2 linked regions of the Canis lupus familiaris genome follow. The protein of the gene in region 1 purifies or fractionates together with the protein of each later gene. This does not show direct contact. Links are inferred from orthologs where the notes say so. Each region holds a gene or a part of one and is shown in the gene's direction. Other genes may lie near its edges.

The links. The genes of interacting proteins can lie anywhere in the genome.
Region 2: the proteins of CDAN1 (region 1) and ASF1B purify together in Homo sapiens (co-immunoprecipitation; 5 studies listed by BioGRID and IntAct, counting the BioPlex papers as one, with this or other methods). This does not show direct contact. The link is inferred for Canis lupus familiaris from reciprocal best matches to the Homo sapiens genes CDAN1 and ASF1B.

Annotation. Positions count from the first base shown.
Region 1 is NC_049251.1:9,959,298-9,963,387, reverse strand, and holds the start of CDAN1 (codanin-1), read left to right. Parts: upstream 1-1,274; 5' UTR 1,275-1,290; coding exon 1,291-1,380; intron 1,381-1,632; coding exon 1,633-2,123; intron 2,124-2,279; coding exon 2,280-2,486; intron 2,487-2,680; coding exon 2,681-2,850; intron 2,851-2,980; coding exon 2,981-3,094; intron 3,095-3,176; coding exon 3,177-3,255; intron 3,256-3,653; coding exon 3,654-3,774; intron 3,775-3,932; coding exon 3,933-4,042; intron 4,043-4,090. UniProt on the Homo sapiens protein: May act as a negative regulator of ASF1 in chromatin assembly.
Region 2 is NC_049241.1:48,802,679-48,805,745, forward strand, and holds the end of ASF1B (histone chaperone ASF1B), read left to right. Parts: intron 1-821; coding exon 822-998; intron 999-1,380; coding exon 1,381-1,584; 3' UTR 1,585-2,561; downstream 2,562-3,067. UniProt on the Homo sapiens protein: Histone chaperone that facilitates histone deposition and histone exchange and removal during nucleosome assembly and disassembly. Cooperates with chromatin assembly factor 1 (CAF-1) to promote replication-dependent chromatin assembly.

The DNA of each region.
Region 1 (4,090 bases):
ACCAGAGTGCCAGGATACGAGGAGATTCTTCCCTGTGTCATAAAACTGAAGGTGAAGTAATAAAACTGCAAGTGCTAAGGGAGACCTAAGTGGCTGGGTCCATTAAGCAGGTTAAGCATCAGACTCTTCTTTTCCCCTCTGGTCATAATCTCAGGGTTGTGGGATGGAGCCCCGGGTCCTGGTCCCTGCTGAGTGTGCAGTTGCTTGAGATTCTCTGCTCCTCCCCCTAACCCACCCTTTTTTGTGCTTGGGCTCTCTCAGAATCTTCACACACACACACACACACACACACACACACACACACACACAAAACCAAAAAAACACCTGCCAGGTGCTAAGAGGAGCTCTTGGGAGGCACTCACGTGGGCGCTGCTTCACCCCACCTGGAGTGCCGGTGCCATCTGCCCTCCTCCGCCTGGTCTCCCCGTCTGGATCTCTCAGTGAGTAGCAACATCCAAAGCGCTGCCCATCTTGTGTTTCCAAACGAGAAATGAGTTAACACAAGAATATGCCTCTTAACATTTCAACTGGAAAGTAGTCGAAATAACCTTGTGTAAAGATACAGATAGGCCATCCTGTGTGTTGAGGGCTGAGCAGAAGATGATAAAAATAGTCCCGGCAAGAATTCTCAGACACACGGGCAGCCCGGGTGGCTCCGCGGGTTCGCGCCGCCTGCAGCCCAGGGCGTGATCTTGGGGACCCCGGATCGAGTCCCGCGTCGGGCTCCCTGCAGGGGGCCTGCTTCTCCCTCTGCCTGTCTCTCTCTCTCTCTCTCTCTCTCTGTCTCATGAATAAATAAACCTTAAAAAAATTCTTAGACACAAATGGTGGATCAGTTGACAATGGCTGGAGAACCGGTGGGTGCCCGTAGGCCAGGGGATGGAAAACTCAACCTTGGAGCAAGACAAGGTCAAATGAAATTAGGCTAATTTTATCCTAACTTCTTTAGGGTGGTGATGGCTGAATCTAGAAAACAAACTCTGGAAAGACTGTGCTTATCACATTAGATAAGTCAGGTGTCTCTCTCGGGAGAACTGCTCACCCTCGAGTCCCCCGCGCCCCCCCCAGCAGCGGCCTTGACCCAAGGCCTGAGCCGGACCCCGGGCCAGGGAAGCTCCGGCCCCGCCCCGGCCCCGCCCCGGCCCCGCCCCCGCCCGGCCCCGGCCCCGCCCCCGCCCCGCCCCTTCGTCCCGCGGCCCAACGGTCGCTCCTCCGCGCCCGCCCCGCCCCTCCCAGGCCGCCCGTGGCGCGCCGGCGCCTGCGCAATCGCCTTCAAGCGCCCGGACCGGGATGGCGGCCGTTTTGGAGTCGCTGCTGCGGGAGGAGGTGTCGGTCGCAGCCGCCGTGCGGTGGATCGCGCGCAGCGCCCAGAGTTCGGAGGTAACAGCGCTCGCTCGCCCCAGGCCTGACCGAGTCCGCTCCCGCGGGAGGTCCCAGCCGTCCGGCCGCCTCCCCTCAGGAGCCTGCCTGGCTGTCAGCCCGGGCCGAGTGCGCCCAAGTCGGGGCCGCTGCCCGGGCCGCCCGCCTCCGCCCGCCTCCGCGCGCCTCCGCGCGCCCCGCGGCCCCCGCGGCCCCCGCGGCCCCCGCGGCTCGTGCTCCGGGCCGCCCGCTGACTCGCCGCTTCTCCCTCAGGATGACCCCGGGGAGGCGGCCGCGCTGCGCTCCCTGCGGCCCCTGCGGAAGGAATTCGTGCCGTTCCTGCTGAACTTCCTGAGGGAGCAGAGCAGCCGCGTCCTCCCGCAGGGCCCCCCGACCCCCGCCAAGGCCCCGGGCTCCTCGGCGGCTCTGCCAGGGAGGCCGGGGGGCCCGTCGCGGGGCGGCCGCGGGGCGCGCAGCCAGCTCTTCCCTCCGGCTGAGCCTTCGAGCGCCGCGGCCGCCGAGGCCCCGCCGGCCCGCCGCGGGGGCAGGAGGCGGGGCCCGGGGCCGGGCCGCGAGCGTGGGGGCCGCGGCCCCGGGGGCCTGGAGGAGGGGGTCGGCGGAGAGAGTCCGCCCTGGGCCGCGGGCCGCAGGCGCAGGAGCTCAGGCAGCCCCGGCAGCCCCGGGCGCGCGCGCTCGGACCCGCCGAACCTCAGCAACCTGGAGGAGTTCCCTCCCGTGGGCTCGCTCCCCCCCGGCCCTGCAGGGTGAGAAGCCGCCTCAGCGCGAGACTGGCCGGGGTTGGGGGCGGGACGACCACGCTAGCGAGACGGGAGCTTCGCCAGGGCCCCCGCCAGCCGTAGCGGTGGTGGACGGGGCCGCGGTGGAAGGTAGGAGTTTGAGAAAAGCCTGTGGCCACTCAGCAGGACGAAGCCTTCACGTAGGATCAACCCAACTCCGGTGAGCGAAGAGCGGTCACTCTCCAAGCCCAAGACCTGCTTCACCTCACCCCCAATCAGCTGTGTCCCCAGTTCCCAACCCTCAGTCCCGGACACTAGCCCTTGGGGCCATGGCCTTCCCCCAGGGTGCAGAAGTCTGCAAGAGGAGCGGGAGATGCTCAGGAAGGAGCGGTACGACCTTGCCACTCCCCGGGTTGGCAGCTCCCTCCCACTGGGGGATCTGCAGGGCTTTTCCCTGAGATCGGTTCGCCCCTGGGAGCCCTGGGTCTGGTTCCTGGCCTGTGGACGTCTGCTCTGGAGGAACCGGAGTGTGGCTGTGGAGGGGAAGCCGGGGAAGTGCTCATGACATCTCTCTGTCCCCATAGCTCGAAGCATCTGCAACAGTCACCTACTCCCGCCTGTCCCACCTCAGAATCGGGGTCTCCCCTCCCCAGCCGGACAGGAAACCTCACAGCTGAAGCCGCTGACCCTGCCAGAGTGTCGTCCCGCCAGCGCCTGGAGCTGATAGCCCTCATCTACTCTTCATGCATTGCCGGTAGGTGAGGGCAAAGGGCTGGAGTGGAGATGCTTGCAGAACTGCGGGGTAGGAGAAACGGTAAGGCATGCAGAACTGAGCCCTGTTTCCGAATGGTGCCTGACACCCTGGGATTTCTTTTTATGTCCAGAGAACTTGGTACCAAACCTCTTCTTGGAGCTTTTCTTCATCCTTCAACTCCTTACTGCTCGGAGGATGGTGGCCGCCAAGGACAGTGACCTCGAACCAACTCCAGGAGCACCAGGTCAGTGGGCAAGCCTCTTTTTGGGAAATGAGGTCTGGAGATAGAACAGTTCTTAACTGACAACTTGGTACTATCCTTCTAGATTCCCTGGAAAGCCCTCTGTTCCAGAGTGTCCATGATTGTGTCTTCTTTGCTGTGCAGGTTTTGGAGCATCAATTTCAGTGAGTTTCCCCAGCTGAAGCATTTAAGCCTTATTCCCATTGCCCACTCACTGCTCTGGCCCCTTGGGGTTAGTGCTTGTGTTTCACACAGGCGCGGGGACCCTGGGCCTCTTCCTGTATGTAGCCTCTAATTTTGTGTCAAGGCCATGAACTTAACTCTGGAGAGAATCAAATTGCCCCCTGTGGTCTTGGCATCTGCCCTATGGGCTTATGTCTAATGTTTCCCTGCTCTAGTTGGTCTCTGGCCTCCAGCATCTTACACGCTCAGCCCATGGCTTAGCCTTGCATACCTGTTCCATGCTCCAGATAACGTGTTCTATGATGTGCAGGTGCCCGCTTCCTATATGTGGCTCGTCCCAGTCTTAGTCCTATGTGCCTTCATCCCTGTACCCCTGTAGGGTTCTCTCCTACCTGGACAAGGGGACCTTGAAGCTGTTGGCTGAGAACGAGCGGCTGCTGTGCTTCTCACCGGCTCTGCAGGGCCGCCTCAAGGCTGCCTATGAGGGCAGTGTTGCCAAGGTAGGGACCTCATCTATCCAGGACCCGGCCTTTCCCAGCCTCATAATCCAGGCAGCCCCAGGGCATGCCACTCCAGTGTCACTGGGCTACGCGGGGGTGAAGTTTTCTGAGTATGACCTGTGAGGGTTTCCATCCCTAATGTCACTGCCATATTTTAGGTCTCTCTGGCGATGCCACCCTCTGCTCAAGCTGTCTCCTTTCAGCCAGAAACAGACAATCGTGCCAACTTCTCCAGTGACCGAGCCTTTCATACTTTTAAAAAACAGAGGTGATAAGAAAAGGGAACTTTTGGGAGGGAACAAGGTGGCATTTTCTC
Region 2 (3,067 bases), on another chromosome or scaffold:
ATTTTTAAATATATAAAAATCAAATCCTTGCCTACCTCCCAGTCTACCGCTCCCACCCCAGTCCAGGCAACCTCATCCCATCCCCAAACGCCTCACCCACCTGTAGCCAGGCCACCAGCAAGCCCACCTGCTCCACTCCACGAGCAAGGCTGGCTTCCTGAGCATTCAGCTCATGCAGCCACACAGGGCCCGGCACCTGGTATAACGTTCTGCTGTCGCTGGCTAAAACTTGCTAATTTGTGAATAAGGGACCCCATGTCTCGTTTTGGTTTTATTTTGTACCAGTTATATAGCGGGTCCTATCCATAACAACACACCCCAAATGTGTCTGCCTCTGTCCTCTCCTTCCTGGTGTAAATCGCTGTCTGCACTCTGGGTTGACTGTAACCTGCCCAGTCTCTGCTCCCACAACTGCCCTCCTCCCATCACAGCATGCCATTCTTTACAGACCACAGGAGTGATGCAGCACTTACCTCCTGTTAGACATTCTTGCTCCTTCCCAAGCCCTTAACTGGCCCAAAAGACCCTGGGCGCCCTGGTCCCTACCTGCCCACTTGTACAGCCTTATCTTATGCCACCCCTCCACCCCCCCTCACTACACTTCTCAGCACTACATTTACTTCTTTGTGGCACTTGTCACACTGAGCATTTTACAGGCATTTGCAAGATTGATTGTGTCTTCCCCACTCGATTAGAAACTCCTGTTGTCAGAGACCATACCTTTTGGCTCAGTAAATATGTGTTGCTTGAAAATCATTGTGTTAAGTGGTAGAGGTGTGGCTGTACGATCAATGCTAAGGCACGGGGTGTGTTTCCTCTAGGCTGATGCCCCCAACCCATCCCTCATCCCAGAGACTGATGCTGTGGGTGTGACCGTGGTCCTCATCACCTGCACCTACCATGGACAGGAGTTCATCCGTGTGGGCTACTACGTCAACAATGAATACCCCAATCCTGAGCTGCGGGAGAACCCACCCCTGAAGCCAGACTTCTCTCAGGTGGGGCCTGTCTCTGCACTTCCTGCCTCGGACAGGCTGGCTCTTTGGCACCTGGGGGAGTTGAGTCATTGGAATTGGGAGCCAAGGTCACTTCTTAAGGTTTTCAAGCCCTGCTCAGATCTTGGAGCTCCAGACCAGAACCAGAGAGAGAAAGGTCTTTGTTTCTCAGAAGCACGCCTGGCAGAATTGAGATTAGATAGGTCTCAGCCCTAAATCACAGTACATAGGCACTCCCGGGAGTTCTACACATAGTTGTTGATGGTGATGGAATAAGTAAGCTCTGTTCTTCCTGGCCTTGGGGCAGGGTCTTGGGGTGCCCTGGCTCTGTGGGAGTAATGACGGGGCATGCTGACAAGGGTTGACATTCCTCTTTCTGCCCCAGCTCCAGAGGAACATCTTGGCCTCAAACCCCCGAGTGACCCGCTTCCACATCAACTGGGACAACATGGACAGACTAGAGGCCATAGAGAACCAGGACCCCACCCTGGGCTGTGGCCTCCCCTTCAGCTGTGCTCCCATCAAAGGCTTGGGTCTCCCAGGTTGCATTCCTGGGCTCCTACCCGAGAATTCCATGGACTGCATCTAACTCGAGGAATCCAGGCCCTACCTGGGCCCAGCCGGGACTGTGGCCAGTCTCCTAGCACATCTGGAGAGGGCAGCTGGGCCTCCTGGACAATCCCACGGAGGCCATCTAGAGGACTTTGGGGCCATCAGCTATACCCAAGCCAGACGTGGTTCTGAGGAAGGAGCAGGCCTCAGGTCTCTCCCAACACTGACCCAGAAGGATCAGCTTTTACCTCTACTGCCCAGGCCTGTAAGAAGCAGGTACTTCACTTTTTAATTCTTTGTGACATGTGTCTTTTCTGTCTTACACACACACTATAAATTCCACCTGCAGGCCTTTCTGCCACCATGCTCCTGTGAGTACCATTGACCCAGAGCTCTTCCCACAGACCTCCCTGGCTTGCCTTGAGGATTTCTTGGTCAACGCCTGGCAAGGCTCCAGGCCTGTTGAGCCGAAGGCTCTGTCATTCCTGTCCCTCCCCAAACATCTGAGCAAATCCACCCAGCTTTTTGGAGTCACAGGCAAGGAACCAAGCTTGGTTAGAAGGTGGACTTGGACACAATTTCTGTCCTCCTAGGATAGTTTTTAGGTCTTTTAATCCAACAGCCTCTGGAAAAGTCTGTTCCCAAAGGTATGCTCAGCAGGATGCTAAGGAATGATGGTTGACTCCGTACAACCACCTTCCTGTCCTCTCTTAATTGGATCTGGCTTTCCCTGGAGGCTGCCATGGTGGGAAGGTGGCAGGTTGGTGGAGTCTGTCTCAATGCTGGCATCAGGGCCCCTCTGCCTGCCTTAATCTGCCCTCTGCGAAGACCTCATGCTCTTGCAGGCACAGGAAACCATAGGGACCCTGAAAACCTCTCCCCTTGCCATGCTCCCTGCAACACCCCATTCCCTCGCTGCTACGTGGATGCAATTGTGATTACAGTTTGTATATTAAAAGGTTTTTATATTAAATATGTTTGGTTGATCTAAAAATAAAAAGCACTTCCTCTAGACTGATTCTGCTTTTATCTTAGGTGGGCTGAAGCAGATTTGTCCATCTCTCTTCATGATGTCGTGAAGGGGCTCTGGCCCCAGCCAGTGGGCTGACCGTCCTTTGTTCCCTTGCTCAGCTTCTTACCCTAGTCTTAATTGGTTACATAATTGTACTCCAGCCTGAGGTTCAGGGAGGGGTTTTTCTTTGTCAAAAGTTAAGCAACCCAGCTGTTCTGGATTGAGCATAACCAGTGATTTTTTAGACTTTGACCTTGACCCACAGGAAGAAATTAACATCATGCTCCAAGGACACACGCAGCAACACTTTTATTAAATTTTACTTAACCTTACTTTGTAACCATACAGCCCAGTAGACTGGTTTGGCTGGTGAGCCATTTCCCTGTAATTCACAGAAGTGCCCTGACTCTTCCTTCCTGGAAACTGGTGGACCTAGGAACATGGGTGCAGATAGCTGCCTGATAGGGTGCACATTGTGTAAGTTTAGGCAGAGCAGCAAACTGGCTTA